2 linked regions of the Arabidopsis thaliana genome follow. The protein of the gene in region 2 binds, or shares a complex with, the protein of the main gene of each other region. Each region holds a gene or a part of one and is shown on either strand. Other genes may lie near its edges. The genes, in order: AT3G24880 and AT4G37280.

The links.
Region 1: AT4G37280 (region 2) and AT3G24880 share a complex: the UniProt entries of both Arabidopsis thaliana proteins name them as parts of the nuA4 histone acetyltransferase complex.

The regions. Positions count from the first base shown.
Region 1 is NC_003074.8:9,086,895-9,104,219, reverse strand, and holds the start of AT3G24880 (Helicase/SANT-associated, DNA binding protein), read left to right. Parts: upstream 1-8,682; coding exon 8,683-8,822; intron 8,823-8,930; coding exon 8,931-8,985; intron 8,986-9,078; coding exon 9,079-9,176; intron 9,177-9,252; coding exon 9,253-10,615; intron 10,616-10,723; coding exon 10,724-10,843; intron 10,844-11,051; coding exon 11,052-11,255; intron 11,256-11,603; coding exon 11,604-11,792; intron 11,793-11,888; coding exon 11,889-11,969; intron 11,970-12,085; coding exon 12,086-12,143; intron 12,144-12,217; coding exon 12,218-12,735; intron 12,736-12,835; coding exon 12,836-12,889; intron 12,890-13,217; coding exon 13,218-13,263; intron 13,264-13,484; coding exon 13,485-13,681; intron 13,682-13,759; coding exon 13,760-13,813; intron 13,814-13,897; coding exon 13,898-13,978; intron 13,979-14,183; coding exon 14,184-14,321; intron 14,322-14,407; coding exon 14,408-14,524; intron 14,525-14,765; coding exon 14,766-14,832; intron 14,833-14,921; coding exon 14,922-14,998; intron 14,999-15,095; coding exon 15,096-15,196; and 6 more. Other genes in the region: AT3G24929 (uncharacterized protein), read right to left, coding at 231-239; RLP39 (receptor like protein 39), read left to right, coding at 2,290-5,037; VAMP728 (vesicle-associated membrane protein 728), read right to left, coding at 5,464-5,604, 5,677-5,754, 5,886-6,041. UniProt on the Arabidopsis thaliana protein: Component of the NuA4 histone acetyltransferase complex which is involved in transcriptional activation of selected genes principally by acetylation of nucleosomal histone H4 and H2A.
Region 2 is NC_003075.7:17,543,792-17,555,841, reverse strand, and holds AT4G37280 (MRG family protein), read left to right. Parts: upstream 1-6,282; 5' UTR 6,283-6,479; coding exon 6,480-6,620; intron 6,621-7,212; coding exon 7,213-7,266; intron 7,267-7,375; coding exon 7,376-7,389; intron 7,390-7,479; coding exon 7,480-7,625; intron 7,626-7,728; coding exon 7,729-7,764; intron 7,765-7,899; coding exon 7,900-7,940; intron 7,941-8,122; coding exon 8,123-8,224; intron 8,225-8,400; coding exon 8,401-8,480; intron 8,481-8,571; coding exon 8,572-8,741; intron 8,742-8,823; coding exon 8,824-8,908; intron 8,909-9,000; coding exon 9,001-9,094; 3' UTR 9,095-9,265; downstream 9,266-12,050. Other genes in the region: MEE59 (maternal effect embryo arrest 59), read right to left, coding at 344-541, 633-734, 816-1,037; AT4G37295 (uncharacterized protein), read right to left, coding at 1,954-2,214; AT4G37290 (uncharacterized protein), read left to right, coding at 5,659-5,913; HMA1 (heavy metal atpase 1), read left to right, coding at 9,490-9,990, 10,090-10,240, 10,337-10,521, 10,652-10,798, 10,887-11,082, 11,242-11,354, 11,717-11,955. UniProt on the Arabidopsis thaliana protein: Chromatin remodeling factor. Acts as a 'reader' protein by binding to H3K36me3 and H3K36me3 to control histone H4 acetylation. Increases the transcriptional levels of the flowering time genes FLC and FT.

The sequences.
Region 1 (17,325 bases), on a different chromosome or scaffold from region 2:
CAAATAAGTACAACAACAAAAATCGAATCCATCAATAGAAACAGAACGAATCCATCAATACACACGTGAATGTCACTGGTGGAGATTGAAAATGAGCAAATAGATCCAGTGAAATCGATTGCAATACGAACACAAAATGGTACATCTACGTCTACCAAATAGATCGAAACTCAATTTTACGCGAATCCAGGCACAAAGAGAACGTGTTCCGATTAAGAAGAGAGACTCACTGAAGCCATTATGGACGAGGTAATTGAATTCGTGTGACCGTCGCAATTGTATGTGAACTTGTTTGCTTGTTATTCGAAGAAGGAAAGCTTCGTTCTAGTGGATCGCACTGCGCAGTGACGGAAGTGAAATTCTTTCTTCAACTCAATATTTTACTTTTGTCAATTATTTTTTTTTTGTCACAAGTGTCTTATTAATGTTACAAAGCCAAGTGAACAGACCCAATTATACATAGCCAAAGAAACAAGCCTACAATTTAAAAAACAAACATAACCCATAAAACAACAAAAGCCCAAAGCCCAAATAAATTCCTTTGCCAGAAGGAAAAGTGACGTGAACAGCGCAAAGAGCACGTGGCAAGTCGAAAAGAGATGGAAGACACGTGGGAAGTTGAAGAGGAGAGAATTTCCGATCACCGGAAAGTAGAGGTGACACCGGAATCTTCATTCCAAGCAGAAAATGTCCAGAATCTTATTCATCTTCTTCGCCCGAAGAATTAGAGGCGAAATTCCAATTGAGTGTTGATGAAATTATGACTCCACTTGATGAAAATCTGAAACCTTCTTCATCTTCTTCTTCAAAACTTTTCAATCGGAAAGGAAAATTTATTTTTTTAGAACTTGCTTACATCAACCCAAAACCGGACAAAAGCCGGGACATAAGCCATCCGAATCTCTCGAAGACGAATCGATGGAGACGAAGCCAGCCACCGTTGCGGAAGAAGCCAATCGATGCTGGAAGTTTGCCGGCCAACGGTGCATAACAGAGCCACCGATGCCAGAAGAAAAGTTTTGACTGCTTAATAAGCCAGTGAAACGCCCCATGAAATTGCAACAGAAGTTTTTATAAAAACTCTTGCCGACGAAATCATATCGAAAACTTTTCTTTCTCTCTGAAAAATAAAGGAGAGAGAAGAGAGAGAGAAAAGTTCTCAGTCAAAAATATACATAATATATGTCAATTATTTTTAGTTTTTGCACCCCTTTCATTTTTCTATTGTATTTTATGCATGGTTATTAAATTTTTTCAATTCTTTCCATTTTGTTAATTATATATGAATTTTCATTTTTGGTTTTCTTCCTAACTCTATATTAAATTATTTCCTAATATATAATGTTTTGACTTTTTTCCTAACTCTATATAATGCGAATTTAGATAGACATAAAAGTTTATTAAGTGTAAACTAATCTATACATTTTGGTAAATAAATATTTTAGAAATTAAAAATAATATCATCATACGATTTTATCACCAGTATTAGAAGAAAATAAAATAGAATAGGATAAAACTACATGCATGTATACATATGTGATTACTCATGTATTTTACACAAAGAGTAAAGCATTTCTAAAAATTACATATATTTTTGCTGAAAAACTATTTATATAATTCACGAAATCTACAACAATCATGAAAATATTCTTAGTTTTATTTTATTTATTTTAAAAAAACCATAGTAATACATAAAATGATTTTCTTTTTAAGATTAACGGTTTTCCCACGGTCACAATATCAGTTGGTAATTTGTAGTAGGATCTTGCCTCACCCCTATGGCCCTATTATCTGACGCTGTAACTCGCAAGTGTGCTCATGATCCTCCAATGGAGAAAATCATTCAAGTAAAAGAAAAATGAAACTATCATCTTCTTCATCATTTTCAAATCCTCTTTACCGCATATCTTCTAATCGGTTTAACGATCTTTTGTTAGCTAAAACTATCATCTTCCCCATTATCTGACCACTTTCACTTTGCCTCGTTACCATACCAACTTCGAAATTTGATACTCGACAAACAAATCAAAACAACGCCAATTCTTCTTCGTCAAAGCACGTCGGGCTACGAAATGTCTCCAATAATCAAACGTATCCAATATGTTTGTCCTTATGCTAATTTTATTTATGTGATTTTGAACATATATATGAGAACTTTCAAAGTGATGTGGTTCCAATCCAAATTATACTTAAGAAAAATTATCTAACGTGGACTTCACTTCTCCAAGCCCGAATACAAAGACGACTTCACTTACCTCTAACTTCTTCCAAGTCAATTTGTGCTCCACTATGCAAAACTACTTCCTATCTTTATTTATACCAATCTTCTCTCTCACATTTCTTATATCAAAAACCTTTCTTTCTTACAAAGCTGTTTTCATCATGTCTGAATTGCTTTTCCGTTTGAATTTTCTCTTGCTACTCTTACTCTCTTGTGTCTCCTTGGCTTCAAGCTTCTTCTCTTTTAATGACCCGGTTGTTGGTCTTGGTGCTTGTGGTCCCCACCAGATTCAAGCCTTTACGCAGTTCAAAAACGAGTTTGATACTCATGCTTGCAACCATAGTGACTCCTTGAATGGGGTGTGGTGCGATAACTCCACGGGCGCGGTCATGAAGCTACGACTCAGGGCCTGTCTCAGTGGAACTCTAAAATCTAACAGTAGCCTCTTCCAGTTTCATCAGCTTCGTCACCTTTATCTCTCTTACAACAACTTCACCCCCTCTTCAATCCCTTCCGAGTTTGGAATGCTCAACAAATTAGAGGTTTTGTTTATGTCTACTGGTGGCTTCCTAGGCCAAGTTCCTTCCTCTTTTAGTAACCTAAGCATGCTTTCCGCTTTACTCCTCCACCATAACGAGCTCACTGGTAGTTTATCGTTTGTGCGGAATTTACGCAAGCTCACAATTTTAGATGTTTCTCATAATCACTTTTCTGGAACTCTTAATCCCAACAGTAGCCTCTTTGAGTTGCACAACCTCGCTTACCTTGATCTCGGTTCTAACAACTTCACCTCCTCTTCACTCCCTTATGAATTTGGTAATCTCAACAAACTAGAGTTATTGGATGTTAGCTCTAATAGCTTCTTCGGTCAAGTTCCCCCCACAATTAGTAACCTCACCCAGTTAACCGAGTTGTACCTTCCCTTGAACGACTTCACTGGTAGTCTTCCGCTTGTACAAAATCTAACCAAGCTCTCCATTCTACATCTTTCTGATAATCACTTCTCTGGAACCATCCCTTCTTCTCTCTTCACTATGCCTTTCTTATCCTATCTTGATTTAGGTGGAAACAATCTCAGTGGTTCTATTGAAGTTCCTAACTCCTCTTTGTCGTCAAGGCTAGAGAATTTGAACCTAGGTGAAAACCATTTTGAAGGAAAAATCATAGAGCCTATCTCAAAGCTTATCAACCTCAAAGAGCTCCACCTTTCTTTCCTAAACACAAGCTACCCAATTAATTTGAAACTCTTCTCCTCTCTCAAATATTTGTTGCTCCTCGATCTTTCCGGTGGTTGGATATCTCAGGCTAGTTTAAGTTTGGATTCATACATTCCATCGACCTTGGAAGCATTACTCTTGAAACACTGCAACATCAGTGTTTTCCCAAACATCTTAAAGACCCTTCCGAATTTGGAGTTTATTGCCTTATCAACCAATAAAATCAGTGGGAAAATCCCAGAGTGGTTATGGAGCCTTCCTCGTCTGAGCTCAGTTTTCATTGAAGAAAATTTGTTTACTGGCTTCGAAGGTTCATCAGAAATTTTAGTAAATTCATCTGTACGGATCTTAAATTTGCTGTCAAACAATTTAGAAGGAGCACTTCCACATCTACCGCTCTCTGTCAACTACTTCTCTGCAAGAAACAATAGATACGGAGGCGACATACCTCTTTCAATCTGCAGTAGAAGGTCACTTGTTTTCCTTGATCTAAGCTACAACAACTTCACCGGTCCAATTCCTCCATGTCCAAGTAACTTCTTGATTTTGAATCTCCGGAAGAACAACTTGGAAGGAAGTATTCCAGACACTTATTATGCCGATGCACCTCTACGGTCACTCGACGTTGGCTACAATCGATTAACAGGAAAGCTTCCAAGGTCTCTTCTAAATTGCTCAGCTCTACAGTTTCTAAGTGTGGACCACAACGGAATCAAAGATACATTTCCTTTCTCCCTTAAGGCTTTACCGAAATTGCAAGTCCTTATTCTCCATTCAAACAACTTCTATGGTCCTCTATCTCCTCCTAATCAAGGCTCTCTGGGTTTTCCTGAGCTGCGGATACTTGAGATAGCTGGTAATAAATTCACTGGTAGCTTGCCCCCAGATTTTTTTGAGAATTGGAAAGCATCATCACTCACGATGAATGAAGATCAAGGTCTATATATGGTATATAACAAGGTTGTTTACGGGACCTATTACTTCACCTCTCTGGAAGCTATAGATTTACAATATAAAGGTCTGTCTATGGAGCAAAATAGGGTCCTTAGTTCCTCAGCGACCATTGATTTTTCTGGAAATAGACTTGAAGGAGAAATTCCTGAATCTATTGGTCTCTTAAAGGCACTGATCGCACTCAACTTATCGAACAACGCCTTCACAGGCCATATTCCTCTGTCTTTGGCCAATCTTAAGAAGATCGAGTCACTAGACCTATCAAGTAACCAACTCTCAGGGACAATTCCTAATGGAATAGGGACTCTCTCGTTTTTGGCATACATGAACGTGTCTCACAACCAACTCAACGGTGAAATACCACAAGGAACACAGATAACTGGGCAACCTAAATCGTCATTTGAAGGAAATGCAGGGCTTTGTGGTTTGCCTCTTCAAGAAAGTTGCTTTGGGACTAACGCACCACCAGCACAACATCCTAAAGAAGAAGAAGAAGAGGAAGAAGAAGAGGAACAAGTGTTGAATTGGAAAGGCGTGGGAATAGGGTATGGGGTTGGTGTGTTACTTGGATTGGCAATAGCACAACTCATTGCTTCATACAAACCGGAGTGGCTAGTTTTTCTGTTTCAGAGCAGAAACCATTAAGATCTTTTGGTTATGAATTTGATCGTTTATGTCAAGTTGTTGTTGCCTGTTGGTATTGTATTGAAGTATTTCCTAACGTTTGTTGTATCTTTATCTGATGTTTTTGTTTCTATAAAGTAAGAATGGTGAATTCTCATTAGATGTTGTTTCTTTTCCTAATAAAAAGAGTAGCAGAACTCAAAATTGGGTTTTAGATTACAAGAAACCATATCATCACAAAGACCTAATCTAGATATTTGCAAATCCCAGCAGCTTAACATATTCATACCCTAAAGGATCATAAATCAGTACTAAGTCATCATATTTCATTATCCCTAACAAAATTTATGAAAAAGAGATCGCAAAAACAGAATGAAGAAAGAAGGGCATATACCTCGGGTACAGTTTCCCATCAATTTAGTAGAGCAATGTGGGCATTATAATTCGTCAACGTAATCTTCTTCTTCTTTCAGTTATTAAGACAAACCTAGACGAAGATGTACCAAGGACTATGAGCTTAAACTTCATGTTCTGAAACCACATCTTTCTTGTAATTTTCGTTCCTGGCGTTATGATATCTTCTTGACCCTGTAGATATCAGAACTGGAAATATAAGAGCGTGACAACTAGAAAGGAGATATATTGTATCAAAAAGCTCACATATGAGGGAAAAGGTAAGTTACTATACTTTGAACGAAGGTCCACTAGAATTTTAATTTTCTCACTGCGGTCAAGAGCCTGCAAGTTAATGAATTACATAAACCTCAGTCAGTTTCGCATAAGTGGGAAAAAACAGAGAAAATTCAAGTCATATATTCTCAAATGAATGATATAAAATTATGAGATTGACATGGATATATGATTCAGACCTTCTCAATGTTCTCCATCATAACACCTTTCATTTTGGTCACTAGAGCCTTAACCTTGGCAAGTTTGCTAATCTCCTCGGGATGAGCCAAAAGTACCAAAACTCTTTGTTCAAGCTGTTGGGTTAAGTAGTTGTAGCCATTCCTATCCACCACCATATCTCTTGTTGAAATCCTCTTAAACTCGCTCCAAGAATGCCATTGGAATCTGCCGAAACAACGCAATAGGCTGCACAAAAAGAAAAGAATCTATTGTCATGTCCATGGAAAAATATGAGAGAATTATAAACAAAGGACACTAAATACGAAAAAGAAACTGTATAGTATTGCTCATATATCACCTAAGTTCAAATACAAGAGGCAAAGCAAGCTAAAGACATAACTACATTCAACAGTTTCACTTCCGTTTAAGCAAAGACTCAAGTCAATTACAATTGCCTTCTAAATTCTCACAAACAAGCCAATAATACATAAGCTGAATGGAATCAGAACACCAAGAAACATATATCATGATAAATCCAAACGAGAGATACATCAATAAGTAAAATAAGAAAAGTCTCATCAATCAATGGAAACCTTAACAGAAGAAGAACCAAGTCATAAATATACAAATGAATGAGCAAATGAGCAAAGAGATCCAGTGAAATCAATTGCAACACGAACACGAATATACATCTAAGTCTACCACATAGATCGAAACTAGGCTTTCAAGAGGGCGAAATCGAAACTCATATATACGAAAAACCAGGAAAAAAGAGAACATGTTCGGTTTGAGAAGGGAGAAGGGAGACTCACTGAAGCCATTTTCGACATTTGTTGTAGGAAAATTGGTATCGGAGAAGGAAGCTTCTTCTGGCAACACTGTGCAGTGACGGCAGTAAAATTCCCTTTTTGCAGAAGGCAAAAAAAATTACTTCTTTTTTTCCAACTCGAAATTTTTACTTTGGCTGTAAATAGTAAAATTGTTTTTGAGGAATTTAAAATGGTTACATCATTTACATGTTGAGGTATACTTGAGGAATTTGTGAGGAATTGTTCATGTTTAAGAGTTTTATTTTTGTTTTTAAGTTGTTTCATAAATTAATAAAATTATTATTCTTAGAACTAAACAACGCAATAGGCTGCACAAAAAGAAAAGAATCTATTGTCATGTCCATGGAAAATATGAGAGAAGACTTCCACTAGAAGTTGTTAGTAAGGAAAATTCTAAACAGAAAAAAATAGTTTAAATTTTATTTTAAAAGTAAAAATTAGTAGTTTATTTTATTAGTTTATGCGTTTATATAATATTTCTATTTGATAAAAAATAAGATTAAATGTATTACATTCTTAATATTTTGTAATTTGTAACTTTTTACAAATTAAGTTACTATCTTATGTTTAATAAAATTATTAAATTATAGAAAATTTCAAGTTTAATATTTTTTCATATGTTTTATTTGGTATTAGTCTCTTAGATTTCTAAACCCGAACCCAAAAAACCCGGACTCGATCCGAATTGCCTATGGACAACGTGGGACAAATATAGTTTTACAAAACCAGCGACATGCCTGAGATTTGTAGAGATCCATGTCACACAACATGAAACTGTTATAACTTTATTACTACAAAAAGGCCCGAAACAAGACCAAGCAAACAAAAAGAAAGGCCTTGTTTGGTCAAAATCTCAGGCCCAGAATTCGGAGAGAGAGAGAGAGAGTCGCATACTGCGTCGAGGAGAGAGAGAGAGAGAGAAAGAACGAAAAAAAAACATCAACGAGAACTCAATTTTTTTTTTTATCTCCCGAGAGGGAAACCAAAATTGAAAACGAAAAATAGCTGAATTAGGAATCAATCTCGCAACAAGCAAGCAATTTCCATGGATTCCTTGTTTTGGGAGGAGCTTCTTCTCTTCTACTCTCTGAGAAATTGATTCTCGTCTTTCGATTTGAAAGAAAAGCTTATAAGAATTTGGAAGCCCTAGGAGAGAGAAACTAATTTTAGAATTTGGTGATTTTGCCCGAGTTTTGTGCCCTAGCTTTTTGCCTTCGTTCTGTTCTGTTCTACGTTCAATTTCCAGGTTTAACTCTCTTCTCCTTCACTCTTCTATTCAAACCCTAGAGTCCAGCTTTGCTGGAGCTTCTGTGATTTTGAACCCAGTGCTTCTTTTATCAGGAATGTGAATTGTTTGCTGAAATTGTGTCTCTGTAGTTCTTTGTTTCTACTCGTTTAGCTTGGAAATGCTCAATACTTGATTCAAGAGTTCGTAGGCACGCCATTAAGTAGCTTAAGCTGATCATTTTCTAACTTTGGTTCCTAGTAATCGTTGTTAGTGTTGGATTAAGCTTCTAGAACCTCTCTGCCTTGAGGCAACATTTCATTTCTTTGGTATCTTAGAGTTCTATTCTATCTCTGTTATGCTGGAATACGTAGTTGTGAGCTTCTCGGGGATCAGAATGGTATTGGCGTTAGATATATAGAATTCTCAGTCAAATACTAGATTCTGGGGAGTTATCTTCACTTTGATGTTCCTTTGGATAGTGGCTAGAGTATATGAGTGAATGTTGTTTTACTTTTGACATCTTCTGAGCAGTTACATCTTGAATCTGATAAGCTACTCTATTATATGATATCATATGGTACTGCTTTTTGCATCATGAGAACATACATTTTACCAGTGTTATTTGTAGGTCCAACATTTAGGTGTAACTGATTCTAACTTCTGCAGTATGATCATTCGGAATGCTGTAAATACTGAAAGCTCTTGATATAATTTTTCAGTTAAGCTAGAATTCGAATTGATGGGGTATTCGACGTGGTGATGCATGGAAGCGTTTCAGGATATCTTCTAGTAAATGCTGAGGTTGATTCCATGGGAGGAGTTATCGATAGTGGAGGTGGTATTGGTGTTAAAACATCTCCGCGCCGAACAGCTATTGAGAAGGCTCAAGCGGAGCTAAGGTATTTCAGATTGAGACATCTTGATCTTCTGCAGTGTGTTTAAATGCTCTATAATTTCTACAGCTTTCTATTATTTCCAATGTGTAACAAAGATGCTTATTTCAACAGGCAAGAGTATGATGTTCGTGAGGAAAGGAGGAGAGAATTGGAGTTTCTAGAGAAAGTATGAATACCTATTTCCCTGTTCTATAATTGTTTTGTGTGTGTGTGTGTAAGAACTTATGATGACAAGCCTTTACTCTTCTATCTGCTTCAGGGCGGTAATCCCTTGGATTTCAAGTTTGGTATTGCAACTTCACATAGCGTCCAATCTACATCACTCACAGATCAGCAAGCAGAGCATTTTGTAAACAGGTACATTCGTGTTTGGTGTAGTTCCCACATTAATTTCATGGAATAACTCATCATTATTTGCCCATAACCCCCACAGTGAAGTCAAAGATAGTTTTGCCCTGACTGCCTCACCACATGGTGACTCGGTGGAGAGTAGCGGTAGACCTGGAGTTCCTACAATTTCTGAACCCAATACAGCAGATAATCTTTTACTGTTTGATTCTGAAAACAAGTCAGTTGAAGGGGAAAGAAATTTGAGACATCCTAATAGGCAAAACAGAACTTCTGAGTCAGAACGATCTTCCAAAGCACACACCAACCAGAATACCAAAGAAACAGAAGATTCTGCCATCTTTCGCCCGTATGCTCGGAGGAACAGATCGAAGATAAGTCGGGATCCAGCACGGTCAAGCTCTACGGATTTAGTTCAGAATCGTGGTGGTCTTGCAACGTCTATATCTATTCGCAGAGGATCAGTGGAAGGAAAGGGTTGCATTCCCGAAGCAGCCAATCAAAAGGATATGCATACAACTTCTGTATCTTGTCCAGTATTTGCAAATTCAAATGGTAATATCGTTCCGAAAAATAGAGTTTCCAGCAATTCGCTGAATACTAAGGTGGATGGTGAACCTGTTGTACGAGAGAGTACTGCTGGATCCAAGACTAGTCTATTGAAAGATGAAGCCGACATTTCGTATAGTAAAAGCTCTGCATATTTGCCAGTTGGAGAGTCTGGCCTTGCTGGGGAGAAGGCACAACTAGTTTCGACTGGTGGTTCTCCCAAAGCTGCAACAATAGCTGGCCAGAAAAATAGTTCTACCCAACTGAATGGCCTAAGAGATTCCACGGTAGAGGAAGAAAGCTTAACAAATAGAGGAGCTACAGGGACTAATGGGTTAGAGTCAGAGTCTTCTCATGCGAACAACGTAGAAGTAAATGTAGATAATGAAAGAGATCTTTATAAAGTGGACAAACTTGACTCTGATGAAATCTCTATGCAGAAGACTTTGAGAGTAGAGGGGTTACTAGATCAAACAGTTGGTGAAATGACCAAAACTAAGATTGAAGATGAGACAGGTCAATCTACCACCATTATCAGTGAGTGCATTCCTGAATGTGAAATGCAGATGAAATCGGTTAAAATTGAAAATCAAAGTCACAGAAGTACAGCTGAGATGCAAACTAAGGAGAAAAGTTCCGAGACTGAGAAAAGGCTTCAAGATGGGTTGGTTGTACTCGAAAATGACAGTAAAGTTGGTAGTATTTTATCTGAAAATCCTAGCAGCACGTTGTGCTCTGGAATTCCTCAGGCATCTGTAGACACAAGTTCTTGCACAGTTGGCAATAGTTTATTGTCAGGAACTGACATTGAAGCATTAAAACATCAGCCGAGCTCAGATGCAGTTATGTTAGATACTGTCAAGGAGGACGCTATTCTTGAGGAGGCCCGGATTATACAGGTTTTCTTTTTAATCTTGACTTGATGATTTTTAGCTATCTAGTTTTCGTAGAAGTTATGATGTTATGTACCTACTCATCTTTTTATGTATGACATAATACATTAACAGGCAAAGAAAAAAAGAATTGCCGAATTATCTTGTGGTACTGCACCAGTGGAGGTCCGTGAGAAATCTCAATGGGATTTTGTCCTCGAAGAAATGGCATGGCTGGCAAATGATTTTGCGCAGGTCTGGTCTAGTTAAATTATCTTTCTAACATAAATTCTATATATCTGCATGGAAAATGCTGCATTTTGTGGATTTTTGTTCTGTTTATTTACTACGGCGTCTGGTCATTCGTCTTCTTAAATGAGCTTGTCCACTTTTATGTTACTGGAACATTTTTCCGTGACTGTTCTAATTGCATTCTGTTACCTTTTTTCTTTTCATCTTCTAGGAGCGCCTTTGGAAAATGACTGCTGCCGCACAAATTTGCCATCGAGTTGCTTTGACTTGTCAGTTGAGATTTGAGGAACGAAATCAGCACAGAAAGCTGAAAAAAATAGCTTCAGTCCTATCTAATGCTATCTTACAATTCTGGAGTTCTGTGGAGGCCGAGGTTCCTGGGGAGCTGGAGGAGACGAGCTTGGGAATTGTTAAGGTATTTGACTGTCTGACCTCTTTTATGGTTTTTGATGACAATGATGATCATATGGTTCTTTCCTTTTCTTTTAAATTAGAATTATGCATATATATATACATTCGTTGAATTAAAGTATTGACAACACTGACATTCTGAGAAACCATATTATTATGTTTGTGACTAGACTGCAAAACAACACAATTCTACTGATATTTCCTTCTTATGATTGAGAAGCCTGATCTTTCTTATTTGCTTGAATTGTCTTTGATAATTACCTACAGGAGTCTCTGGTTCTGTCGCTCCTTATGTTATGATTTTTGTAAAATTTAATGGTATCATACTAAATAATACCTTGGTTGTATGCAGGAGACTTGCCAAGAATCTAATTGTTTGAATGGCAGAAGATGTTTAGCTGCGGGTGTCAAGGAATATGCAAGTAGATTTTTGAAGTACAACAACTCTTCCATCTCCTATCATTCAGCTGCACCGTCAACACCTGACAATATGTGCGACCCAGAAATATTGGATATATCTATGGTTGATCAGCTTACAGAAGTATGAATTTCTGAAAAGATTTTCCGCAGCCTCAGTTGAACACTATTGTTGTGGATAGTTCTACATTATTGCTAATTGAGCTTTATTACTGTGCAGGCAAGCCTCTTTTATTCAGTTCCATCTGGTGCAATGGAGGTGTACCTTAAGTCCATTGAGTCGCATCTTACACGTTGTGAGGTATGTGAGATTGTTCTATGCTAGGAGCTCGCATATTGTAACCTTGATGGCGTATATTTTCCTGAGAATATATATCTGTTCTCCAAAGATATTTAACAGTATTTCTCTGTTCCCAGAAGTCTGGAAGTAGCATGCAGGAGGAGGTTGATACATCAGCCTATGATACTGCTGGAGGTATGCACAATTCTGGGTTGTTTGAGCTTCGCGGGTTGGTTAAATTTTTGCTAATTTTTTATCTCTAATTGTAGATATAGGATATAATGTTACTGCGTTCGATGAGGATGAAGGAGAAACAAGTACCTATTATCTTCCGGGAGCTTTCGAGTCTAGCAGATCATTTAATATAAGCCACAAAAAAAGGAAGAATCTGATGAAGTCTCATTCTGCCCGGTCATATGATCTTGGGGACGATTTACCATACGTCAACAACACAGGTGGCTCTAACTCATCAAGTTTGATGGCAAAAAGGCCTGACAGTAATATTAATGCCGGCTCAGTTCCAACAAGGCGAGTGCGCACTGCTTCCAGGCAGAGGGTTGTGAGTCCTTTTGGGTGTGCTACTACTGGGAATTTACCAGTGCCCTCGAAGACAGATGCGTCTAGTGGGGATACTAGTTCTTTCCAGGATGAGTATAGTAGTTTGCATGGTGGATCGGCAGTCCAAAAAGGCACAGAGGTTGAGTCAAGTGTTAACTTTGAAAAGCTGTTACCTTATGACATGGCTGAAACCTCAGGAAGACCTAAAAAGAAAAAGAAGACTCATCAGGTAGTTAGAAATATCAGCATATCTCTTACTATTTGCAGAAAATAGTTGCTATTAGTTTTAGTTGACATTGGATTGCAATTTTCAATTTCATTTGTTGCAGGGCTCCGCATATGACCAAACTTGGCATCTCGATCCGTCAGTCCATGTTGAACAGGTGAATTCATGATAAAATCCTAAGAATCAATTTGAACAAATGTTTAGGGAAAGGCGAGTTTAGGTGGTGTGAATTAATCAATATTATTGCTTGACTAGCTTGATAAAATAATTTTTGCCTCTTGCTTAACTGGTTTGATGCTTGAGTCCTACTCTTTGGATTAAAAACAAAGTTATATTTTGTTTCCATTTTAATCTTGAGGAGGTGACTATTAAACAGTTTCCTATTATTTGAAATGAGAACTTTAAGTTATATAGTTGGTAAATGTTTACCATTTAGTAGTAATTGACTTCTTAGAAAGGATTCTAATTCATCCTTATTTGGGCAGAAGGACCACTGGAAGAAGCGACCAGAGAATAATTTCGATATGAATGGTATTATTTGCAAATTCATTTTTTACTTTGTGGTGCATTGTAGTTCTTCAGCGGCTGGGGGATCCTCAGCCTCTGCCTGTATAAATTAAACAATACTCCTAGAGGATATCATGTTTTAAGCAGCATTTTTACGTACATCTTATCATTAACCACCAATTATACAACTTAAGCAATGATAATCGTTTATAATTCTGTGACATATTTTAATTATTTTTTGTAAGGTCTGTATGGTCCTCATAGTGCAAAGAAGCAAAAGACCACCAAGCAATTGGTAGAGAATAATTTTGATATGGCTATTCCTCACACTGGATCGATTCCTTCTCCGGCTGCTTCCCAGATGAGCAATATGTCCAACCCCAACAAATCTATCAAATTTATTGGAGGTCGTGATAGGGGCAGAAAAATAAAAGGCCTGAAGGTATGCTCTTGAAGGTTTACTAACTCCATTCACTTTGTTTAAAATATCTGTTTTAAACTAGAATTTTGTTTTTCTCAGATTTCTCCTGGTCAGCATGGTTCTGGAAATCCATGGTCACTATTTGAGGATCAGGTTTTTTATTCGTCATCTTTCATTAACATCGATGTACTGTTGGTTGCTTTATGAGTATCTAATTTATCTTTTTCTACCATATAGGCGCTTGTTGTCCTGGTGCATGATATGGGCCCTAACTGGGAGCTCATTAGTGATGCAATGAACAGCACTCTTAAAATTAAGGTAAGTGCCTGTTGTTTTGAAAAATCTTGGGATTCTTTCTTTGGTACCTTTCGAACTGAGTGGCAGAGCTATAATTCAATAGTTTTTTTTTTTCTATTCTAGTGAATGGTTGTGTTGGATATTGTTGTCCAGGTTATTGCTTTCTCGTATCAGTGAACAACTGGTATTTGTTACTGGCTGATTGATTTTTCCACTGTTTCTCCAGTGTATATATCGCAATCCGACTGAGTGCAAGGACCGGCATAAGATTCTGATGGATAAAACTGCTGGTGATGGGGCTGATAGTGCAGAAGATTCAGGGAATTCTCAGTCTTATCCATCCACTTTGCCTGGCATCCCAAAGGTTTTTCTATAGCTCTGAGATGGTGAACAAAGTGTCTTCTATGCTTAAACTAATTTAAATGCCCCGGATATGTCTGTGATATTCAGGGAAGTGCGAGACAGTTGTTTCAACGACTGCAAGGGCCAATGGAGGAAGATACCCTGAAGTCTCATTTTGAGAAGATTTGTTTGATTGGGAAGAAATTACATTATAGAAAGACACAGGTTAGTTCACCTACTACTTTGTTACTGTTTCCAAGCTTGTAACCTAAAACTAGTGGATTTCTTTCTGCATTTTTTGGCTAGTCATAATTCAACTGTTGCCTGGAAATAGGGATAGTTCGTTGTGTATGTACTGTGTAGTATACTAGCATCAAGGAGATGATATGTTGGGTGATGGTAGTCCAAATTTTAGTTTTTGAGTCCCTTGTGGGCAGAATGCTAAATGGTTCTTATAGTGCCAGAGAGTGTTATCGGGGTTTCTGTGGTTTCTTTTGTTCACGGAATTCAGTTTTCAAGTTGCACTGGAGCTGGTAAATGTTTTTGCTTATAGATATGGAATTTGAGAAGATAGGTTTGCTTAATTCAGTTTTTAATTTGCATAAAGTTTATGGTATGAAAGGCATATCTCAATCACTCGACATACCAGGTCTGCATGTTTCTAAGTATAGCTGCAAATCTTGGCTAGGATTTCCTGAAGTCACATTGTAGTTTGAAGTATGAATCTACTAAGGCCCTAAATCTGTTTTCTTGTTGCTGCTTGTGTATTCTTGTGACTGTTTCATCTATCTTCAAGAATGATGGTCGGGATTCCAAGCAAATAGTACCAGTTCACAATTCACAAGTCATGGCTCTCTCTCAAGTATTCCCGAATAATCTGAATGGAGGTGTTCTTACGTAAGTTCTGTTGTTTCCTTGTATTCACATACATCTTGACTTCTACTCTTGCAAATTCTAATATTTTGCTACTCTCCGGATGAAGGCCCCTTGATGTCTGTGACGCATCAACTTCAGGTCAAGATGTATTTTCACTTGAAAATCCAGGTCTTCCAATGTTGAATCAGGGAACGCCAGTGCTCCCTACTTCTGGAGCACATCCATCCACTCCTGGATCATCTGGTGTTGTTCTGAGCAACAATTTGCCAACCACATCTGGCCTACAGAGTGCTTCTGTCAGGTAGAGCTTTTACTGAATGATTTGTTTTGGTGAATGCACACGTCTGTGAATCTCCGCTCAATTTACTTGAGGGTTATTACTTCTTTTGATTGTTGATATATTTTTTTCTTTGTAGGGATGGTAGATTCAATGTTCCTAGAGGGTCTTTGCCACTTGATGAACAACACCGACTACAACAATTTAATCAAACGTTATCTGGTAGAAACCTGCAGCAGCCCTCCTTATCAACTCCTGCAGCTGTCTCAGGATCTGATCGTGGACATCGCATGGTTCCTGGTGGAAATGCTATGGGTGTAAGTGGAATGAACAGGAACACACCCATGTCAAGGCCTGGTTTTCAAGGGATGGCCTCATCAGCAATGCCAAATACTGGTAGTATGCTTTCCTCTGGCATGGTAGAAATTCCAAACACTGGAAATATTCATTCCGGAGGAGGAGCTTCTCAAGGAAACTCCATGATCAGGCCTCGTGAAGCTGTGCAGCATATGATGCGGGTAAGCTACTTGGATTTTGTTTACTGCTACGCTAATTATTACACTTCGTTTTACGATTTCTCACATGTGGGAACTTAACTATCTATTTCTTACTTCACAACCTGGACTTATTTATCTCGCTCTTTGTTTTAGTTTGTAGACGTTCAGCGCTTCTAATTTTTGTCAACCGCTGGTCGATTGTCATTTTGAAACTCGTTGACAACATTACGACCTCTACAGTGGTGATAAAAACTGATATTCATGAGTTTCAGATGCAGGCTGCTCAAGGGAACAGTCCGGGGATCCCAGCTTTCAGTAATTTGAGTTCTGGATTTACCAACCAGACAACTCCTGTTCAGGCGTACCCAGGCCATCTTTCCCAGCAGCATCAGATGTCACCGCAGTCACATGTGCTTGGCAACTCGCATCATCCTCATCTCCAGAGCCCAAGTCAAGCCACTGGGGCACAGCAAGAAGCATTTGCTATCCGTCAAAGACAAATTCACCAGAGGTATTTGCAGCAACAGCAACAGCAACAGCAGTTTCCAGCATCTGGTTCTATGATGCCACATGTACAACAACCTCAGGGCTCTTCTGTTTCTTCTTCTCCACAAAACAGTCCTCAGACTCAACCACCTGTTTCGCCCCAGCCATTATCCATGCCCCCGGTGTCGCCCTCTCCTAATATTAATGCTATGGCACAACAGAAACCTCAAAAATCTCAGTTGGCGCTTCATGGTTTGGGTAGGAGTCCTCAGTCTGGTACTTCTGGAGTGAACAATCAAGCTGGAAAACAAAGGCAGCGACAACTTCAGCAGTCTGCAAGACAGCATCCACACCAGCGGCAGCCAACACAAGGTCAACAGCTGAATAAACAACTGAAGGGGATGGGTAGAGGCAACATGATCCATCAGAACATCACTGTTGATCAGTCACACCTGAATGGCCTTACCATGCCCCAAGGAAACCAGGCTACTGAAAAAGGAGAGATAGCGGTTCCAGTTAGGCCTGATCAGCAGTCTAGTGTGGGGACTACCACGAGCACGAATCTGCAGTCTAAACCATTTGTTTCTCCCTTGTCTTCAAATCATTCACAGCAACTGCCAAAATCATTCCCTGGTGCTTTGCCTCCATCCCCTCAACAACAGATGCAATTACATTCAGACAATAGCATCCAAGGCCAGAGCTCACCTGCGACCCCATGTAATATTTTATCCACCTCTAGCCCGTCAATTGCACCAGCGGTTGCACCTTCTAACCATCAGCATTTGTTGATACACCAAAAGCAGCGCAATCAAGTGCAATCAACAGCTCAGCGAGTTGTTCAACATAATCATCTAGGGAACTCTGAGTTATCAAAGAAGTCCCAAGCTGAA
Region 2 (12,050 bases):
TAAATTCAGTGATTACAATGCAAGGCTTTTGTTATGTAAGAAGGTACATAGTAATGAAAATAAAAATCATCTTGAGATGGTAAACTGTGTTTTGCTAGAAGGTCTGCTGGTTGGTTATTTGTTCTTGGAATCCAGTTGAAACTAGTCTCCTCGAAGCGTTTCTGCCAAGTCCTTCCTTCTCTGATCCAATTGTATCTCCCGAAACTTTGTTTTTTGTTGTTCATGAGGTCTGCAACTTGTTTGTTGTCTCCTTCGAAAATTTATTTATTTAATATTTTATTGCCATAATATCAAGAAACAGAACATCTGAAACAAGAAGATAAAACATTTTCGAAAGATCAGTTCAAGAACTCTCGCTCCGGTTTGGTTTAGACGAAGATTCCGAATCAAAATCTTCCTCCGTCGCAGGAATCCATTCGTTCGTCGCCGGATTGCTTCTGTAAACCGCTTTTTCTCCTCCGTCTCCGATTGCGGCGGCGGTTACGGCCTCGGATTCTTCACCGTTGTCTTCCTTCACCACATTTATAAACCCACTTCCGGTCTAATCTCAGAAACAGAGCACGTTAAAACAAAATTAGATTTCTTCTGATGAAATTTTATAAGCAAGAGTGAGAAAGAGAGGGAATTGGAACCGTGTGATGTTGCTTATCAATGGCGGTGAGATTTGAGTAATACTCTGTTTCCAGGAACTCATCTTGAACTGCAGATGAATCTCCCTCACCTAGAACTTTACCCTGAAAAACCAAAATCTCAAATTTAACGAAAGATGTTGGTTTATGTGAAGAGAAAAGAGCGAGTTTTAGAGATAACCGAACATGAGTTTGTGACTGGAGAGATTGGAATTTGTCAGCTTCAGGATGGTCGGTGATTTTGTCGGAAGCAGAGAAAGATCCAGGAAATCCCGGTTCGCTTCGAGTGGGTTTAGTGGGTCGTTTGGGAGCCAAGGAATCGAAATCAGCTCTGATCTGGTTCGCGTTCTTGATCTGCTGTTCCGGGTCGGATATTTCGTCGCTCCGGCTTGGCTTCATCGTACTCATCGTCGTCTCTGTCCACTGCTTTACAACACACACATGCAAAAAGAGAAAGGATTTGCTCACTGGTTTTTAGTTGTGTTTAAAAGAAAATGTATATGGGCTTTTAGTGGGCCTTTTTAGTCCTTTAATTTTCTCATTACAAATTTCATAACGTGAAACTGCAATATACTCACTAAACATGGTATAAAACTATAAATACTCGACATTATTACCAAAAAAAACAACTTTTATCTTCTTCATTTAAAAAAAGATTGTCGAAATTGGGTCCACTCAAAACATAGTGTGCATGAAGATTGAAGCTTTTCCATTTCCGGCTCCTATGGAAAGACAATAAATTATTTTTGAAATGTCCTTTTAATTCCCCAAAGGCCAACATTTCGAACAAATAAGAAAAGAATTAAAAGGTACAGCTGAAAAAACGTTTGCATCTCATCGAAATTCGATTTGCGACCACGTTTGATTATAATTTGCGACCACTTTTAATTCCAATTATGTGGTAAAACATGAACTAATCAATGTCTTCTTTATAATTAATCATGTGGTATCAACCTTACCAAAAAGGAAAAGAGATAATCATGTGGCTGTATATCATTTAAGTTGCACCAGAATGGCCGATAACATATCTCCTCAATCTATATTATTGACTCATATACAATTTGCATGGTTGATGGCTTAACGTAGATCTCAAAATTGAAATTTGTTAAACTAAAATAAATATCGATTAATGGGCACGTACTATAAATTGGTGTTTATGAGAAGGAAACCGACTATTGTATGATCAAAGAATATCACCCTTCTAAACTTTACATGGATCTTTAGCGACTGAATAAATATAATAATCTATAAAAAATGAAAAATATGATTCTATGACCTGAGCTAAACAAATATCGAAGTATAATGTTTTGTTTGGGTTCGTATTTTAGTGACCAGCACCTCTCCTGCTCGGTCCTGAAGCCATTGTATGCATCCTCTCCCCGGCCGATGAGAGCCACCTTAGCTTCTTATAACCATGTATCACGACCCCTAATAAGTCTTCACTTCGTAAATCGACCCCATGAATTTTAGATTGATCGATTTCCTCCGTCGAACCACCAAGGAGAACTCTGCAATCCGCGGTTCTTGATTCCGAAAAGGCCGAGACCAAGAACATGACCGTAAAGATCAAGCCAACCGGTCTCATTTTTTGGTGTGGTTGTTCGGTTCTTGAGGTTTAGGGTTTAAGACAATGAATGTGTTTTGGTGATTGATAGAAAAGGAGTAACAAAGGAGGAAGTAAAGCTTTATATACAAGTGTCAAAAGATTCAAAGGTAGATGAAAAAGGATGGAGAGGAAGGAAGATAGGAGTTTTCATTAGAATTAAAGTAATATAAAAAAAAAAACTAAAAAAATTGTTAGGGAATATAAAATGGAATAAGGTGTAGAATTAGACCCTCGATACAAGGGGATGGTGCAGGCGAATTAGTAAAAAAGGACGGTCTCTAGCTTCCTTGGAAATGGACCTTTCGAAAAGTGTTAATTGTTTTTTTTGACTAGCTAAATGTTTTTCTTAATAGCTTTAAATCTAAAGTATTATAGTTTGATTGAGAATATATATATGTATTTTGTTTTTGTTTTTACTGCTTAAAATATGAATACAAAATTCTGGCACACTATTAAATTATGGGATTTGTTTATGGCTTAAGATACACAATATTCCAATGAATCAATCTTCCAAATGACAATTCAAGTTGTAGTTGGTAATTTAAAAATCCTGACTTTTTGTTAGTGGAGTTAGGCAGGACTATATATACCAATATTTTCGGTATATGGTTTCATGATCAAAAACATTTATACCGACAAGGAGTTTAGTAATCACCACGTAAACTTTGCAATTGCCAAATGAGCCAAATGAAAGTACTAGACTACAAGTCTACAACTATTTGATTTCATATTTCTATCATTTGAAGTTTTATGTCAAACTAATATTGTAGAATTTTTTTTGAGCGGAGGCTTTCTTATTACAATGACTTAAGTTGATTACTTGATTTAACTCTACGGTCGTGGATCATCGACTCGGTTTTAACCTTTAGAAACTGGAAGAGTACTGATGAAGGTAGGGCACGAATGCGTAGAAGTGACGTAGGAGGAGGTAAGAGAAATAAAGTACGTATTTGTTTCTCACACTTTCGCGAATAATTTGATCGGAATAAATTTGACCATACGAATCCTCGAGACTTGTTCTGCATAGTGCATAGGAGAACGTTTTCATTGTATTGATCGATTTTTTTTTTTCTTTTTCTAATTAAGTTTTGAAGATTTGTGAATGGTAAGAACTAATGCATGATTTTTAGTACTGTGCAAAGAAATAAATAAGAAACACAAAGATCAAACAATGAGTCCTAAGAAGTGGAATTTTTAAACCAAAATCATACTAAATCATAACTCAACGATAATTAATAAATGAAAACTCTAGAATTTTTCAAAAAACGAACAAAACATAATTGTCATGTTGGTTCGTGGGCATGAGAAAAAGAAGGGAGATAACATAGACAGACAAATTCGGTGGTACTCACACAAAATACTTGTATGGACGGACGGACTCTAACTCTGCTTCATAGTTGTCATGATAACAATATTGGCATCTATCTTCTTCCTCTTTTTCCTTTTTGTTTTTAAACGTCACTTCCCCCACATGTATGATGTACCCTCAATTTTATTTCATTATCAATCTTGCATCTTCGAATCTTTTTTAAAAAAAATCGAGTTTGCAGAACTAAATCCATAATTATTTCTAATTTCGATTTTTTAATGTGAAATATTTAGTGGTCAAATATGAATATAAGTACTGTTTATGGACGAACCATGTGAACATATCATGTTTTCGATATACAAATTATGATATTGCATTGTGCAGTCACAATTTGGTTCTTTTGAGATGTTATAGTTGTATACTACCTTAATCCCTAGAGATACATATCTGCTATTTGAATGGATTAAAGATTTGCTTTTATATAGATTTAAGTAAATAATTGAAATTCTTTTGTCCAAAGATATTTGTTCAAGAATTATATTAATTTCATGTAATTGGAAGGAATACAAAAGACTGGAATCTTGATAATGAATTTATTAATGCAGAATTTGATTCCATTATTAATGGACTACCACGTCCGAACTATACATAGTTAAACATTTTTTCTTCTTGTATTATTCTGGCGTGGTCTTACGCCACTTATAAACTATATTATTTTGGCCAAACCAATATTTATAAAATCGAAATAAAACATTAAACCGGGTTTTAAGTACTTTGTTTGTATTATTCAATAATTGGTTATTAAACTAAGTTAATAATTTCAAAATAGTGATTTCACCTTAAAATATGGGAAAGAGTTTCCTGATGCTCTGGAATTTGGTTTCTTTGTCTTATACTCTAACTGCGGATAAAAAGGAGCGATTTTGCTATAAAAAGGAACAGTTTGAGATGATATTACACTTTATTCCGGTAAATTATTTGGCTACCATCAATAATATATTCTTCAAAACTATCAATCTTCCTTTTTTTTTAGAAAATAAATAAATTTCATCACAACTCTGTTTGAAAAATCGTTTATGAACTTGAGACGGAAAAATTATCATAATTCAACGTCATATAGCAGCAAGAGTTGAAATAAAAATTAATGGTTTTGTCTTTTCATAGGATAGATTTCTTATTTCTACCTAACAAAAACTAAAATTTGGATGTTGAATTTTGAGTAGTATAAAGTTTGGTTGTTCAATGTTTTTTGCAAGAAAAATCACGTGAGAAGGAACTATTTTTGGTCGTGCAAGAAAAATAACACCAAAGTGTTTGAACTTTTGAAGCATTGATGATTAGGTTTGGTGTATCTAACAATATTATAAAACAAACACATGAGATCCGACTCATAGTCAATTTAGCTTATGTCACTCCTTAAATCAGCTGGTTTAACCGAACCAGAAACCCTAACCAAATTTTTAAAAAAAATTCAAGTTATCTGATTTTAAATTTATTTTCTATATATAAAAAATTTGGCTGAAAGTTGAAACGAAACCAAAGCTAGAGATGTACATTTTCTAGTAAAGTAAAATAAAGTAAACAAATTCAATCTGAAACCAACAATATACCATAATATACTTACGAAAACCAAATCTAAACCGGCTAACGATATATGTGAGTGTGACTTTATATACGTTGCGAGTTTGAAATTCAAGCATTATTTTTGGTCTACACAACTACAAATCTACCTTAATATTTAGCTGCCGTCTGCTCCAAACAATGAAACTTCATGTTTGGTCTACGATATTAAATTCTTTATTTCTAATATTCAATTCCTTATCCTTTTCTTCATTGATGGCTTTCACTATTTTGTGTTCAATAAATACACACAAAATTGAATGCTCAAGAAACAAGTTGGTATTTTCCCAGGAAGCAGCATACTAACTAATTTCAATGATCACATTCTTTTCAATTCAAACTTAGTCAAGAATAAAAATTCAAACTTTGCATCTCCACGAACACTACTATATAGTCACATTCTCAACTCACAAAACACTCACAACAAAATTCATTATCTGCCAAAGAGAAAGAAAACCATATTTTTTATAAACAGAGTTAAATTGTTCTTAAACATGATGATGAACAAAAACGTTCTGAGTTCGATTCTGTTCTTCATGTTGATTGGTTCGGTTCTTGTCGAGAGTCGTCCGCTTGGTCTAACAAAGACCGAGGAGAAGTTCGTGGCTAGTTTATTCGATGGCTTATCACTTGGTTCGATCAAAGACTCAGGTCCAAGTCCAGGCGAGGGTCATAAGGTCGTGGACAGGAAGGATACGTTTCGATTTGTTAAGCACTCAGGTCCAAGCCCAAGCGGACCGGGCCACTAATGTTTCAATCTTTAGTTCAAACCGGGCCGGTTAAAGTGCCCATACCCATCTAGGTCGAGAAAATTATTTCATTTTTTTGTTCCAGTTTCATTAGTGGAAAATATTATACATGTCTCATGTTTCTGATCGATACATAGGAAGAAGAATGGCAAAAACAATAATTATTGTCTCATTTTTCTATATTTAGGATTATTGTTTTGTTAGTGAAATAAAGTTACTTGAAAAGTATACAAATAAAATGTATTAATCAATTTTTTTATATTTATTTGAATGTAATAATAGTTAATAAACATCAGTGTCCAAAGTGAAATATGAGTCCAACTGCTCAACGACCAATAAAGGCATAAATTTTTTTAAAAAGACAATGCTTTATAAATGGGCGACGAGTATATTTAAAAGGTTTAAGAGATTTAATCGAACTATTGTGAAAGTTAAGGGACTCAATTGAAAAACTATTCGCAACGATTCAGTCATTCAGCAGTTGTCGTAGATTCATTTATCTAGACGGTTAAAGGGGTGCCTTGTGATGTGAAGATCTTTGCCTCTCGCTCTCGCTTTCGGTGACAATGGGAAGCTCGTCGAAGGAAGAGACGGCGAGTGACGGAGATACGGCGAGCGGTGGCGCCTCACCGTCCAACGACGGCAGACTCTTCTCGGAGGGCGAGCGTGTTCTCGCTTACCATGGTCCTCGCGTCTACGGAGCCAAGGCAAATAAAAAACCTCTCTCTCTCTCTCTCTTTCTCTGTGCATCGTCAGATGTTCGCATAATTTGAATTCTAGAGATTATCTTGTTCGTGTTAATTTAGCAATTCTTGTATTTCACGTGGGTTTTGGTTGTATCCGACTACGGAATTAACTGGTTTCATTGAATTGAGATCTCTCTGCTAGATTTGGCTTAGGGGTTTCTTGGTAGATTTCGGTTTCAAGTTACGACGATCCGAAAGATGAACCCATTGAGATTGGATTCGAGTTTTCTTTTTTTGGTAATGGATTCATGTAGCATTAGAGCTTTTTAGATTGGAATGATCATAAATGCTTAGTCGTAATAGATGCAAAAGAATAATTCACTTGCCGTTGGAGCAAGGAATTCAATAAATTACTCGGAAAATAGGGCAAGCTAATCTACTTGCATGTTTATTTTTTCAATCATATATTATATAGGTCACTGGATTGAGTCTCATTCATATCAAATGTGTGTCGTTGTTATGCTAAATCTTCATAGTTTTGAAAAAAATCTGTTATTGCATAGTGTTTTCAGTGTGTGGGCAGACCTGATAGATTATTGACATTCCATTACAGGTTCAAAAGGTCGAGCTTCGGAAAAAGGAGTGGAAATACTTTGTGCACTATCTTGTGAGGCCTCCTTCTTCTGAGCTATTATAGTTTCATTATCCTGTTTCATGTACTAGCTATTTTCATTTTGGTTTGCAGTAATAAGTGATACAGCGATCTTTGTCTGCAGGGTTGGAACAAAAAGTGAGTATCTCTCTCTGCTCTCATGTCGATTCTGGTTTATGTAGCAAAATCAGTAGATTGGGACCCATGACATGATTGTCTTGCCAACAGTTGGGATGAATGGGTTAGTGCGGATAGATTGTTGAAACATACCGAGGAGAATCTTGTCAAACAGAAAGCTCTAGACAAAAAGCAAGGAGTTGAAAAAGGTACCAAGTCTGGCCGTTCCGCTCAGACAAAAACTAGAAGCTCTGCAGGTGAGTTGTTGCCTCCACATTGACCATGCTGAGAGTACATGATACATATTTTGGTCATCCAGGCTAAGAAACTAACTATTTCTTTCTGATCTTGCACTTGCAGACACAAAGGCTGATAAAGATGACACCAAGACCAATGGTAGGCAACATATTAATTTACGCTCCCTTTGTAGTTCAGGGTTCTCCCAACAATTTCCAAGGAAATGATTTGGTAGACTGGGTGCAACTTAAATTATTTAAGCTGGTGTATAGATGATTACATTTTCTGTTGCAGCTGCAAAAGGGAAGAAACGAAAGCACGAGTCAGGCAATGAGGTCAGGCTTGCAAAAACTTAGAGATGTATTTGGTTCATACCTGTTAGGTCTTTGTTAAGATTATATTTTACAGTACAATAGATGGCTGATGTGTTGTTATGCATATACACACATACGAAAAGGGTCAATTTTTCAGGTCTTCTAATATCGATAAGGTTTTTGTTTTCATTTGTAATCTATAGAAGGATAATGTAACGGCGGAGAAGCTAATGAAGATCCAAATTCCCGCATCACTTAAAAAGCAACTCACTGACGACTGGGAGTATATTGCGCAGAAGGACAAGGTATCATCAATTTTCTCTATTTTGTGCACATACTTTTAGCACTATTAGAATTGTTATTGAATCAGCTAGACTTGAAAGTTAAGAGACATAAGTGTGTATTTGTAGTCGAATGAATTGTGTATACCAAAGTGAAGGGAAATTGATGTTTGGTAATCTGTCTTCAAATGATTATATAGGTTGTGAAACTTCCTCGTTCACCTAACGTCGATGAGATATTGTCCAAGTACCTTGAATTCAAAACCAAGAAGGATGGAATGTGAGTCTTTTACTCGAACACAGAGTTTGATATATTTGAATCTTTTCCGAAATCCAACGATACAAAATTTTGTGTTTCTGTTTTTGTGCAGGGTAACTGATTCGGTCGCTGAAATATTGAAAGGCATAAGGAGTTATTTCGACAAGGCATTGCCAGTGATGCTCCTATATAAGAAAGAGAGGCGACAATACCAAGAATCAATCGTGGATGATACTTCACCTTCAACTGTTTATGGCGCCGAGCATTTGCTCCGTCTCTTTGGTAAAATCTCATTAAGTTCTTATTTGGACAGTAAAATTCGATGTTCTGAAATTTTATTTTTGCTTTTTTTAAAAATCTGCAGTCAAGTTGCCAGATCTTTTTTCATATGTAAACATGGAAGAAGAAACATGGAGTCGCATGCAACAAACATTATCAGACTTCCTCAAGTATATATCTAATCTCTCTGTTTCATCACTACCATTTTGATTTCTCGGTTTTAACGGTTAAATTCACAATTTCTGGAAAAAAATCTTTACAGGTTTATTCAGAAGAATCAGAGCACTTTCTTGCTACCATCAGCATATGATTCTGATAAGGTTTCAGATGGTAAAGGCAAAGGAAAAGACGACTGACATCTCCAGGAAAAAAATATTGTTGTAATTTAGAATTCCTTCATTTTTCTGATGAATTCATAATTGTAAGATTTGCAGCTGAATATGAAATATTTTACAGGCCTTTGAAGTTAACTATTTGGTTCATGTAAATTTCTTTAAGTGGTCAATAAAACATCCGGAACAATGGAACCTTGGTTGGTAGAAGGCAACAAAAAAAATGGAAAAAATAAAAAAGTGTATGAGATGAGATTATTTATGTGGCTAATGTCATCGGAATAATTACATTGGTTCTCCTTCTCTGTTATTATTCTTTCATCTTTTTCACCAAGACGAACGACTCTTACACGCAGAGTTCGCGAGATCAGAATCAATGGTGGCATGAAAAACGACGCTTGAGCTCAAATTCGTCGACCATGGAACCTGCAACTCTTACTCGTTCTTCCTCTCTTACTAGATTCCCTTATCGTCGTGGTTTATCCACTCTCCGACTCGCTCGAGTCAACTCGTTCTCAATTCTTCCACCTAAAACTCTTCTCCGTCAAAAACCGCTTCGTATCTCTGCTTCCCTTAATCTTCCACCACGGTCGATTCGTCTACGTGCTGTCGAAGATCACCATCACGATCATCATCACGATGACGAGCAAGATCATCACAACCACCATCATCATCACCATCAACACGGATGCTGTTCTGTGGAATTGAAAGCGGAGAGTAAGCCTCAGAAGATGTTGTTCGGATTCGCTAAAGCTATCGGATGGGTTAGATTGGCCAATTACCTCAGAGAGCATCTTCATCTTTGCTGCTCCGCCGCTGCAATGTTCCTCGCTGCCGCCGTCTGTCCTTACCTTGCTCCTGAACCTTACATTAAGTCTCTTCAGAACGCATTCATGATTGTTGGTTTTCCTCTTGTTGGAGTAAGGTTTTCTATAGCCTTCTCTATAAAGCTCCTTGCTAGTTTTATAATTTAGCCAGATGATTTAGTAATTTAGCTTTATGGTCATCGATGTTGTTAGGTTTCAGCATCTCTCGACGCACTTATGGATATAGCTGGAGGAAAAGTGAACATCCATGTCTTGATGGCACTTGCGGCTTTTGCATCTGTGTTTATGGGAAATGCTTTGGAAGGAGGATTGCTTCTAGCTATGTTCAATCTTGCTCATATTGGTTAGAACTTGACCTTAATAAGGATTAGGGATATGTCATTGTTAATGTTTATCATGACGGAGAGGTTTGAGCTTTTGTCTTGTCATTTTTCTGCAGCTGAGGAGTTCTTTACTAGTCGATCAATGGTGGATGTCAAAGAATTGAAAGAGAGTAATCCAGATTCTGCATTGTTGATCGAAGTACACAATGGCAATGTTCCAAATATATCTGATTTGTCATACAAAAGCGTTCCTGTGCACAGCGTAGAAGTTGGATCCTATGTTTTGGTTGGAACTGGTGAGGTCTGTGAAACTTTTCTATTTGCTTTCATTACTTGAATTTCTTAAACATGTGACCCTGTATGTCATTAGTTTAGTTTTAGCAGGGTTACAATTGCAGCTGTTAAGTAATGGAATTTTTTTTTCCATTTAGATTGTGCCTGTAGATTGCGAAGTCTATCAAGGTAGTGCTACAATTACAATTGAGCACTTGACTGGGGAAGTCAAGCCGTTGGAGGCAAAAGCTGGAGATAGAGTGCCTGGTGGTGCAAGAAATTTGGATGGCAGAATGATTGTAAAGGTATTTTTTATCCTATTCTCATTGCTTTGGCTTGTCTCTTTATTTGAAATCCTCATGCTTATCTCAATCCATGGAATTTCTAAATCAGGCTACAAAGGCATGGAATGATTCGACGCTTAACAAGATTGTACAGCTGACCGAGGAAGCACATTCTAATAAACCCAAACTTCAGAGATGGCTGGATGAGTTTGGCGAGAATTACAGCAAGGTTGTCGTTGTTTTGTCACTTGCAATTGCCTTCCTAGGTCCATTTTTGTTCAAGTGGCCTTTTCTCAGCACCGCAGGTAAGATGTCAGGATCAAGTTCTCCCTTCTTAACATTACCATAAATCATTGTTGATGTGACAAACTATTCTTGTTGTTTAATAAGATATATCACCATTTGGACAATTGATAAGAGTGGAAAATTGATTGGCTTACTTTCATTGCTTGTTAATGATGCAGCATGTAGAGGATCTGTTTACAGAGCATTGGGACTTATGGTGGCCGCATCACCATGTGCTCTGGCCGTAGCTCCATTGGCTTATGCTACTGCTATTAGTTCCTGTGCAAGAAAGGTATTGTTCAAGTACTCTACGTGATCACCAAGTGTATGTTAGCTTTCTTGGCGTTGTGATGTTTTGCAGAATTGCACTTTTGAGCATTGGTTTGTATATGTTCTCTTGTAGCAAATTAAGCTTTATAAGCTAAATAATCTTATGTGCATCAAATGTCAATGGTGAGGAATGAATGGTGCATATGCAACAACATCGTCTTATCTATGAAGACCACCATATTTCAACTAACTATTTGATATCATTTTCCTTTTGTCCAAATCCAGTTGAAAACATGGTTTATTTTCTTTTTCCTTTTTTTTTGCTATGTAAAGGTAGTATCTTCACGTGTAAGTGTGTAACCCCACCGTGTGTAACTATTATAGGGAATATTGCTGAAAGGTGCACAGGTTCTAGATGCTCTTGCGTCTTGCCATACTATTGCTTTTGACAAAACTGGTACCTTAACAACCGGCGGCCTTACTTGTAAAGCAATTGAACCCATTTATGGGCACCAAGGAGGAACTAATTCAAGTGTAATAACTTGCTGCATTCCAAATTGTGAAAAAGAAGCTCTTGCAGTTGCGGCTGCCATGGAGAAGGGCACCACGCATCCTATTGGAAGGTATTGCTTGTTTAGCATCAATTACTAGTATAAAACTTAATTACCACAAACTCTAAAACCATGCAAGTTGTGACCTATGTGCATCCCATCATCAC